Linked DNA regions of Mus musculus. The protein of the gene in region 2 interacts with the protein of the main gene of each other region in a biochemical or structural test. Links are inferred from orthologs where the notes say so. Each region holds a gene or a part of one and is shown on either strand. Other genes may lie near its edges.

Region 1 (3,809 bases), on a different chromosome or scaffold from region 2:
ATGTGTAGAACAGGTCTCATTTCTAAAACACTCAAGAAGTGAACCCATTTCTTCTTCCAGTTGGGGGAGTAGACTTTACCCCTCTCAATTGCCACAGGGCAGTGGTGGTGTACACCTTAAATCTCAGCACTCAGGAGGCAGAGTCAGGCTGTGAGTTTGAGGTCAGATTAGTCTACACAATGAGCTCCAGGATAGCCAGGAATACATAGACTCTGACTCAAAAAAAAAAAAAAAAAAAAAAAAAAAAGGGTGTGTGTATTGGGGGAGTGGCTACAGAATTACCGTAGCAGCTAGTAGCATATACCCCAGAGTCTGAACTGGCTTCTCCATCTTCAAGCCCAGTGAATACCACTATACCCATAGCTACTTTGTATCTAGAACAAGTTGTATCTTTTCTTTAAAAAAAAAAAAAAAAGTCAAGACGCTTGCCCTCTGTAGCCTCATTGGCCTTGAGCTAACTAAGCAGCAAGCGAAGGCTCTGACCTCACATTCCCCACCCTCGCCCCTGCTTTCTGAGTGCTGGGTTTACAAACATGCAGCATCATACTACCCTTTGTTTAACTTGTTCCCTAGCTTTCTCCTGAGTAGAGAATTTGGGGGCCAGGAGAGATTGAGGGAAAATTCAGGGTGACATATTTAATTCCAGGCCCCCACGCTAACATTTCAGACCATCTTTCATGTGGGCTTAGTTATTGGCAAACTAGAAAGTTCTTTTGAATAAAACAAGTTCCTTGCTTTCTTCCAGGAGGACCTGCAGGTGATGTGCACCTCGGAGCCACCAATGTCCTTGTCAATTACTGTGGCCGCCCACACCTGTTTCCCATGGACCCACCTGTCTAGTCGAAGTTGGCACACGATGCCCAGAATATCCACCTCCCCTCGGGCCTTCAGCTGCTGGCAGCCGATGCGGGTGGCGATGAAGCAGCCGGTCCGGCCGATCCCTGCACTGGATGGAACCAGAGAGAGGATGGGGAGGTCACAGGAGACCAGGGAATGGGGGAGACAAGTGAGCATGGAAGGTTGAGGCAAGGCTTCACGTGATGAAAGAAGAAATGGTATTAAAGTGCTCTGTTTGTGGGGTGGGACTTGCACATCTCCGATTCCAGCATCCCTGGGATCCCTGGTGGAGGCAGAAACCAGCTTACGCAGGAGAAGTCTGTAAGCCCTTATTACTCTCACTCTATGCCTAGTCCAGCTCACCATTAATTAATTAATTAATTAATTAATTAATTAATTAATTAATTAATGTTTTTAAAGATAGGATTTCACTATGGCTGTCCTGGAACTCACTATGTAGAGCAAGCTGACCTTGAACTCAGAGATCCACCTGCCTCTTCCTCTCAAGTTCTGGGATTACCCACCCCACCCCACCCCCGATAGAGTTTTACTCTAAAGTCCAGGGAAGCCTGGAACTTACTATCTATCCTAAACTCACTGTAATCTTCCTGCTTCAGCCTCCTGAGTCCTGGTTGTCCAGGACAGTCAGAGTTACAGAAGAGTGCCACCATATCAAGTCTTTTTTTTTTTTTGTTAGTTTGTTTATTTGAGACAGATTCTCTCTCTGTAGCCCTTGCTGGCCCTGGACTTATTGGGTAGACCAGGCTGGCCTCAAATTCACAGCCATCTGCTTGCCTCTGCTCCCAATTGCTGGGATTGAAGCCCAGATTTGTACTTTTTCCAGTTGTTTTTTCTTTCTTTTTCTTTTATATTTTTATTTATTTTAATCTCTCTCTCTCTCTTTCTCTCTGTGTGTGTGTGCGTGTGTGTGTGTGTGTGTGCATGCATGCACACACATCACTGTACCTATGTGAAGCTCCAGTAGAGACCTCTCATGGGTCAGTTCTGTCCTTAAACCATGTAGGGCCCAGAGATTGAACTCAGATGTCAGGCTTGACTGCGGGTGCCTTTACCCATGGAGGCACCGTGGTGACCCCTGATTTTTCTTTTCTTTTTGATAATAGGGTCTAGTCATGTAGCCAGGACTGACCTTTGATTAGCAGTCTTACTGCTTCGGCCTCAAGTGTGCTCTGCCACACCCTAGTCCAGCGCACACGGTGGTGATCACATCTGTTTACAGCACCTGCCTGTGCAATGGCTGTCCCCCAGAGCGTTCCTTCTCTGACCACAGCCTCCTCCCAGCTCCATGTGAGCTTCCACAGATGCTCCAGGGCCCCCATCCCATTATCCTCTTCTCAGCTCCATCACCTTTCTCTCTTCCCACACCCCCTCCCCTTCTTGCCCTTTCTGGCTTTCAGCTCCCCACATAAGTCTTACATGTGCCTTCAGTAGAAGGAGGTGTATACTGGGGTGTGTAGAAGCCACTAGTGACTTCCAGCACTGAAGTGTGTGCGCGCGCGCCCTCTGCATGGGTCCAAGCATGCCCTGTGTGTACTGTTTGCTTCTCCCTCCTCCTCCTCGTCCTCCTCCTCCTCCTCTCTTTCCCTCTCAACAAAACATCATATATCCCAGGCTGGCCTGGAACTCCCTATGTACTTTAGATAGGCTTTCAGCTCCTGGTACTCCCGTCTCTACCTCCCAGGTGCTGGGAATACAGGAATATGCCGCTGTGCCCGGCCCCAGGCATTGCTTTTAAATGGTAGATTTGGGGTGTTGGATTCAGCATCACAAAACCCAAAACAAAATGGCAAATCTAAGTGTCTTAGCCAATCATGCAAGTCCGATTCATGAAGCCCTTAGCTGCCTTCCATACTGTTTTCCATCAGTGTCCCTACATATAAGCACCACTCATAACAAGCTCCACCCACAAGCTCCACCCACACCAAGCCCCACCCACACAAAGCCCCCCAAAGCTCCACCCACAACAAGCTCCACCCACCCACAAGCTTGGGACTCCTCTCTGACCCTCCTGACAGTGTATCTTTTTTGTTTTGTTTTGTTTTGTTTTGTTTTAAAGTTTATTTCCTGAGCATATAAGGTTCTCTGCCTGAACGTTTTCCTTTCCCCCTTTCAGAGGCTTATTCTCTCTCAGGTATTAGGTGACCTTACCCTGTGGCCTCTATACTACTCCATCTAGCTCTCTCTGAATTGTGGTCTGCTTCATTGTTTAATCTGCTACTCTTCTGACTAGTCTATTAACCTGCCCGGGAAGAAACTAAACTGTTTTGTTCACCGTTATCGTCTTAGTATTTAACATTGTGCCTGATGATAGCAATAATAGGTTTCCAATAAGCCCGTTACAGTTCATGCCTGTAATCCCAAACTGAGATTGAGAGGTTGAGAAGCTGAGGCAGGAGGATTGCCATGAGTTTGATGCTAACCTTGGGCACAAAGAGGGATCCTGTCTCAACAACAACAACAAAAAATAAAACAAAAAACCAAACAACACAACAAACCCAGCAAAAAACAAAACCAATCCCAACACTAAAAGACCTAAGCCAACGAAAATGTTATCTGGTGCCTAAACGGGCTCCTCAACAGTGGGGACGGAGTTTATCTCATTTCTACCTCACTAGAAACTTCCCACAAGCCAGAGCTCTGTCTAGGTAAGAGTTGGGTCTGTCTGGTGTGGCGTTGGATGCCTCCACACCAGAGACTTAGTGAGCAGAGAAGGCAAGCATTGGATCTGCGCTGGGACCAGGGAAGTCCCTACCTGCAGTGAACCACTATAGGCCCGGAGTTGGCAGCTGTCTCTGGAGTCTCCACCTCGGCCACCAGGCGCAGCAGGGGCCCCGCTGATTCTGGAGTCTGGTGGTCTGGCCAGGCTGAGAAGAGGATGTGCTTCACTGAACGGCATTCCTGTTGGTGCTGGGGTGTGAGAAACCAGGAGAATAAGGCTCAAGACGTGGGAT
Region 2 (4,386 bases):
AGAGTCCTTTTATACTTGAAGGTAAAACAAAGATTAAGCAAAAACAAATGGCTTATCTTTGGAAGAATAGTCAGGAGCTGGGTAGAGCACCTCACTCCTATAATCTCAGCACTTGGGAGGCAGGGGCTAGAGGATTGCCTAGAAGTTTAAAGCCAGTCTGGTCTACAAAGTTAGCCTGAGGCCAACCAGGGATACACTGTGAAACTTTCTTAAAAAAAAAAAAAAAAAAACTGAAGTCTGAACTGTCTTCTATAGAAGACATGTAAACTGGGGCTGGTGTCACCCCCAAGGCAAAGGCAGTTGGATCCCTGTGAGCTCAGGGCTAGCCTGATCTACATAGCAAGACCCCTTTCTCAAAAAGAAGAAACGAGGGAATAAGCACCTGCAGATATATACACACAGGGACCAACCCTGCTGCTTTATAAATGTGCAAGTCTAGAGATGCAGAGACCTGCTGAAGGTCATGCAGCAAGACGGGAGTATGTCGATTTCCTGTGGTCAGAGTTGCAGAGGCTGTAGAACAAATCCTGGCATTGGGAGGGGTGGGTAGGGAAAAGGCCATGGGTGCTACCGTCTGCTAACAATGGAGCCAGGCAGGAAGTAGATATGGACAATGAACTGGATGTCTGAACTAGGCAAGTAGTGTCAAGCAAGGGCAACAAGGGCTGGACTAACCTCCCTGGTCAAGGTACAAGTCCACAGGTGATCAGGGTGGGGCTCTCAGAAAGGTGGGAAGGCTCCAGGGAAGCCAACTGGGGGAGAAGAGGAAGCTACTAACAGGAACTGCCGAATTCAGGCAGACTCTCAGGGCCCCTCACCCTTCCTTGAGCCCCCGGCCTAGCCAGGGGCAGGAGTGCAAAGGCTTGGCTCCACCCTGTGACTCTAGGGTCCTCAGGTTCCCCCTCTTAACAATACAATGTGGTTTGAAAGCCTCCACTGCCTCCATGTTGGATTAAGTATCGCCCACTCCCCTTCCCCCTAGAAGGCACTGCAAAACTTAACACAGAGGAGCCTCGGTTTCCTTATCTTTGAAATGGACACAGTAAAACTCATCCGTCACACAGGGAAGCTAGAAGGTTGAATTAGAACCAAAGCACTAGGCCTGCCCAATACCGGTTTTCTTCTTTGCTTTCCATCCAGTGTGAGGTCTCTAAAGAAAGAATCGTGAGTCTGTTGAGCAAGAACAGGCTGTGGGCAGAGACTGGGTCATGTCACAGACCTGCAGATGTCAGAAGACAAAGCTCCCATAGAGATCGTTTTTTCCACAGCATTCTCCCTCCCCACACACCATACTGGGGCACAGAGCAGAAAGGGATGTGTTCAAGGCCACTCCACTTGGCTGCGACAGACCAGGATCCAAGGCCTGCCAGTGTGCTCTCATGCTCTGTAGACTCTCTGCTAAAAAGTTACTTTGCTGGGGTTTTTTTTTTTTGGAGGGTAGTACAAAAGATGACCACAGACAACAGAGCCAAGCTCCCTAGCTTTACTCTGGGGCTGTGGCTAAGGTGAAGGATACACATCTCTCATGGCTTCCAGGGTGGGCGCTCTGAGGATGTCTCGGATGCCTATAACATTCTCATGGCGGAATCGCAGCAAGATCTGGATCTCCCTCAGCGTGCGCTGACAGTAGGTTTGATGCTCAAAGGGGCTGATCTTCTTGATGGCCACTCTGGTCTTGCGCACGTGGTCATAAGCTGAGCTGAGAGGGCCAGAGAGATGTGGCCTTACAAAGGGGGAATCCAGGCCTGTTGGCCCCACCCAGGTCTTGGCAGGGACTGGAGAGAGGAGGAGAGGGTTCTGGCCAAATGTAAACAATGCTGGCTCCTTCCTGCTGTGAAGGCCTGGGATCTCCAGGGGAAAGCTGGGTATCAGCCAGGCAGCCTTTCAGTGACTTCACAAACAGAGGAAGAGAGTGGCCACTCACCGACTTCCTTTCTCCTGGACCCTCTTACATTCTAGTTGCCCTCACCCTCCTCCCCTTTCCCAAGCTGGACTCTCTCAATCCCAGACAGGTCCAGGGGATAGGAGTTAAATGGAGAAAGTAGATGAAGCCTAGAGGATTCAGTAATGGGACAGGAGAGAAGAGATAAGGAGGGGCAGGCAGGTCTCCCTGTGCGGTTCCTGGGTCAGAGCTGCTCCCATAGGAACAAAGGCCCAGAGCAGAGCACACAGTGGGGCAGCGAGAACTCACAAACCCGTATACCACAAAATAAGGCACATTCTAGAGACCCTTCCCTACTTTGGGCCCCTAGCCTTGCCAGGGGCAGAGGTGCAAAGGTTTGCCCCACCCTGAGCTTTGCTCTCCTCTCTCAAACTCTCTGTCACAGCCTCATCAGGGGGGAACCAAGGCTCCCACTACCTGCTCGTGGGTCCCTCACTCCCCCTTCATCCTCTTAGCTCCACCTTTATCTCTAGGGTCCCCCAGGTGCCCCTCCCTTAACAATACAAGGTGGCTTCAAAGCCTCCAACCCCCCTCCCTGGAGAAAGTAGCGCCTAGTCCTCCAGAAGTCACTGCACGATACTTCCCCTGCGACACTCCCTGAGCCCCCCATGTCCCGAGCACACACCTGCTGTCCCTGCTCCGAAGCCCCCTCCCGGGACGCCCCCTCACCTGACCATGCCGTACGCGCCCTCGCCGATGTACTGCAGCTGCGTGTAGCGTGGGCCCACATCGAATGGCTGCCCCTTCACCACCTCCACCTCCCCGGGGACCACCGGGACGACCCCAGCAGTTCCCCTGGGCTCCCCGCCCCCGCCCCCCGGAGCCGCCGCCGCCGCCGCCATCTCCACTCCTCCCGCCTCCCCCCGCTGCCCCGCCCGCGGCCCCGCCCCTCCCTACCGCCCTGTCACCGCGGGGCCGCGCGCCAGGCTCCGCCCCCGCCCCCGCGCGTCCCGCCCCCGCGCCTGCCGGGCGAGCCTGCGCGGGCCCGAGACGTCACATGGTCTCCTGGGCGCGCACCCGGCTTTCCCGCCTAGTTACGCTGTTCCTTCCCTGCCTTGGCCACTAGGGTACTTTAGTCTGCCAAGAGAGTTCTGCAGCCCCAGGGGCCAGTGGCCCTCAGTAATGCTAAGGGAACCCACCCGGCTTACAGTTAACCTTTGAAGACCTGCCTCACATCTTTGTTTCATTTAAACAGATAGTGGTAATCCAGGCTAGCCCCAAAGGCTCTCTATGTGGTGGAGGTTGGCCTTGAACACATCCTCCTGCCTTTAGGCCTGAGCCATCATACAGATTCAGGATGCTACTAGGCAAGCATCCTACCACTGAGCCACATCTCCATCCTTTCTTTTCTCTCTCTCTTTCTTTTTTAAGAGGGTCTCTTGACATGGAACTGGCTGTTCCAGAACTCACTATGTAGACTAGGTAACCAGGCTGGCCTCAACATACTAACTCGCCAGTGCTAGGATTAGTTAGAAGCTGTATGTATCACCATGCCCAGCTTCCATAATTTCTTATTCGTTTATTTGCCACATTTATTAATTTTGTGTGTTGGAGCGTAAGTATGTCACAGAGCCTGTGTGGAGGTCAGAGGACATCTGATTCCTTCCACCATGTGGGTCCCAGGTGTCCAATTCAGGCTGTCAGACTTGGTAGGAGTGGGCCACCCTGAGTTGCTGAGGGAGTATATCTTACGTTTTATAATGAGGAAGCAATCTGGAGGGTGGTGGACGGCAGGCAGCACTGTGAAGCTGTGAAGTCGGTCCTGACTCCAGTGTGAAGACACAGGCCTGCAGGGGGGCTCAGGTGTGTGCTGAGGCCCCAGTGTCGTACAAATCCTCTGCCTGATTGCCCAGAGGACGTGCAACCCAGCTCACTTCACGGGAGAAGGAGGGAAAGGGTGGTAGCTGTGGACAAAGGTAACTAAATCAATTTAAATTCACTGTCACCTTTTCTCTGTCTCTGTCTGTCTCTGTCTTTCTGTCCCCCCCTCCCCCCACGCTGGGCTGGTAAGATGGTTGGGTAGGTAAAGATGCTTGCCAAGCAAGCCCAAAGATCTGAGTTGGATCTCTGGGACCTTCACAATGGAAGTAGAGAATTAGCTCCTGCAGGTTTTCCTCCAACCAACACAAGCATGCTATAGCATGAATGTGGACAGACACATATTCACACACAAAATAAATAAAATAGAATTTAAAAATTACGTGCATGTCTGCCTACAGGTATGTGCACATGAGTGCAGGTGCCCACCAAGGCCGGAGGAATCAGACCTTCTGCAACTAGAGTTCTAAGAGGTTGTGAGCCACCTGATATAGGTGCCAGGAATCAAACTTGGGTCCTCTGGAAGAGCGGTATGTGTTCTTCAAGGTTAACACATCTCTCCAGCACTAAGGATGTCATTTTTAAGTTTGGATTTGACAATCTGGAAAGATGGCTCAGGGATAAGA

The links.
Region 1: the proteins of Mapk3 (region 2) and Ptpn7 form a complex in vitro, tested with the Homo sapiens proteins (3 studies listed by BioGRID, with this or other methods). The link is inferred for Mus musculus from reciprocal best matches to the Homo sapiens genes MAPK3 and PTPN7.

Annotation. Positions count from the first base shown.
Region 1 is NC_000067.6:135,139,080-135,142,888, reverse strand, and holds part of Ptpn7 (tyrosine-protein phosphatase non-receptor type 7), read right to left. Parts: intron 3,766-3,809; coding exon 3,611-3,765; intron 947-3,610; coding exon 833-946; intron 1-832. UniProt on the Homo sapiens protein: Protein phosphatase that acts preferentially on tyrosine-phosphorylated MAPK1. Plays a role in the regulation of T and B-lymphocyte development and signal transduction.
Region 2 is NC_000073.6:126,758,044-126,762,429, reverse strand, and holds the start of Mapk3 (mitogen-activated protein kinase 3), read right to left. Parts: upstream 2,805-4,386; 5' UTR 2,785-2,804; coding exon 2,612-2,784; intron 1,700-2,611; coding exon 1,517-1,699; intron 1-1,516.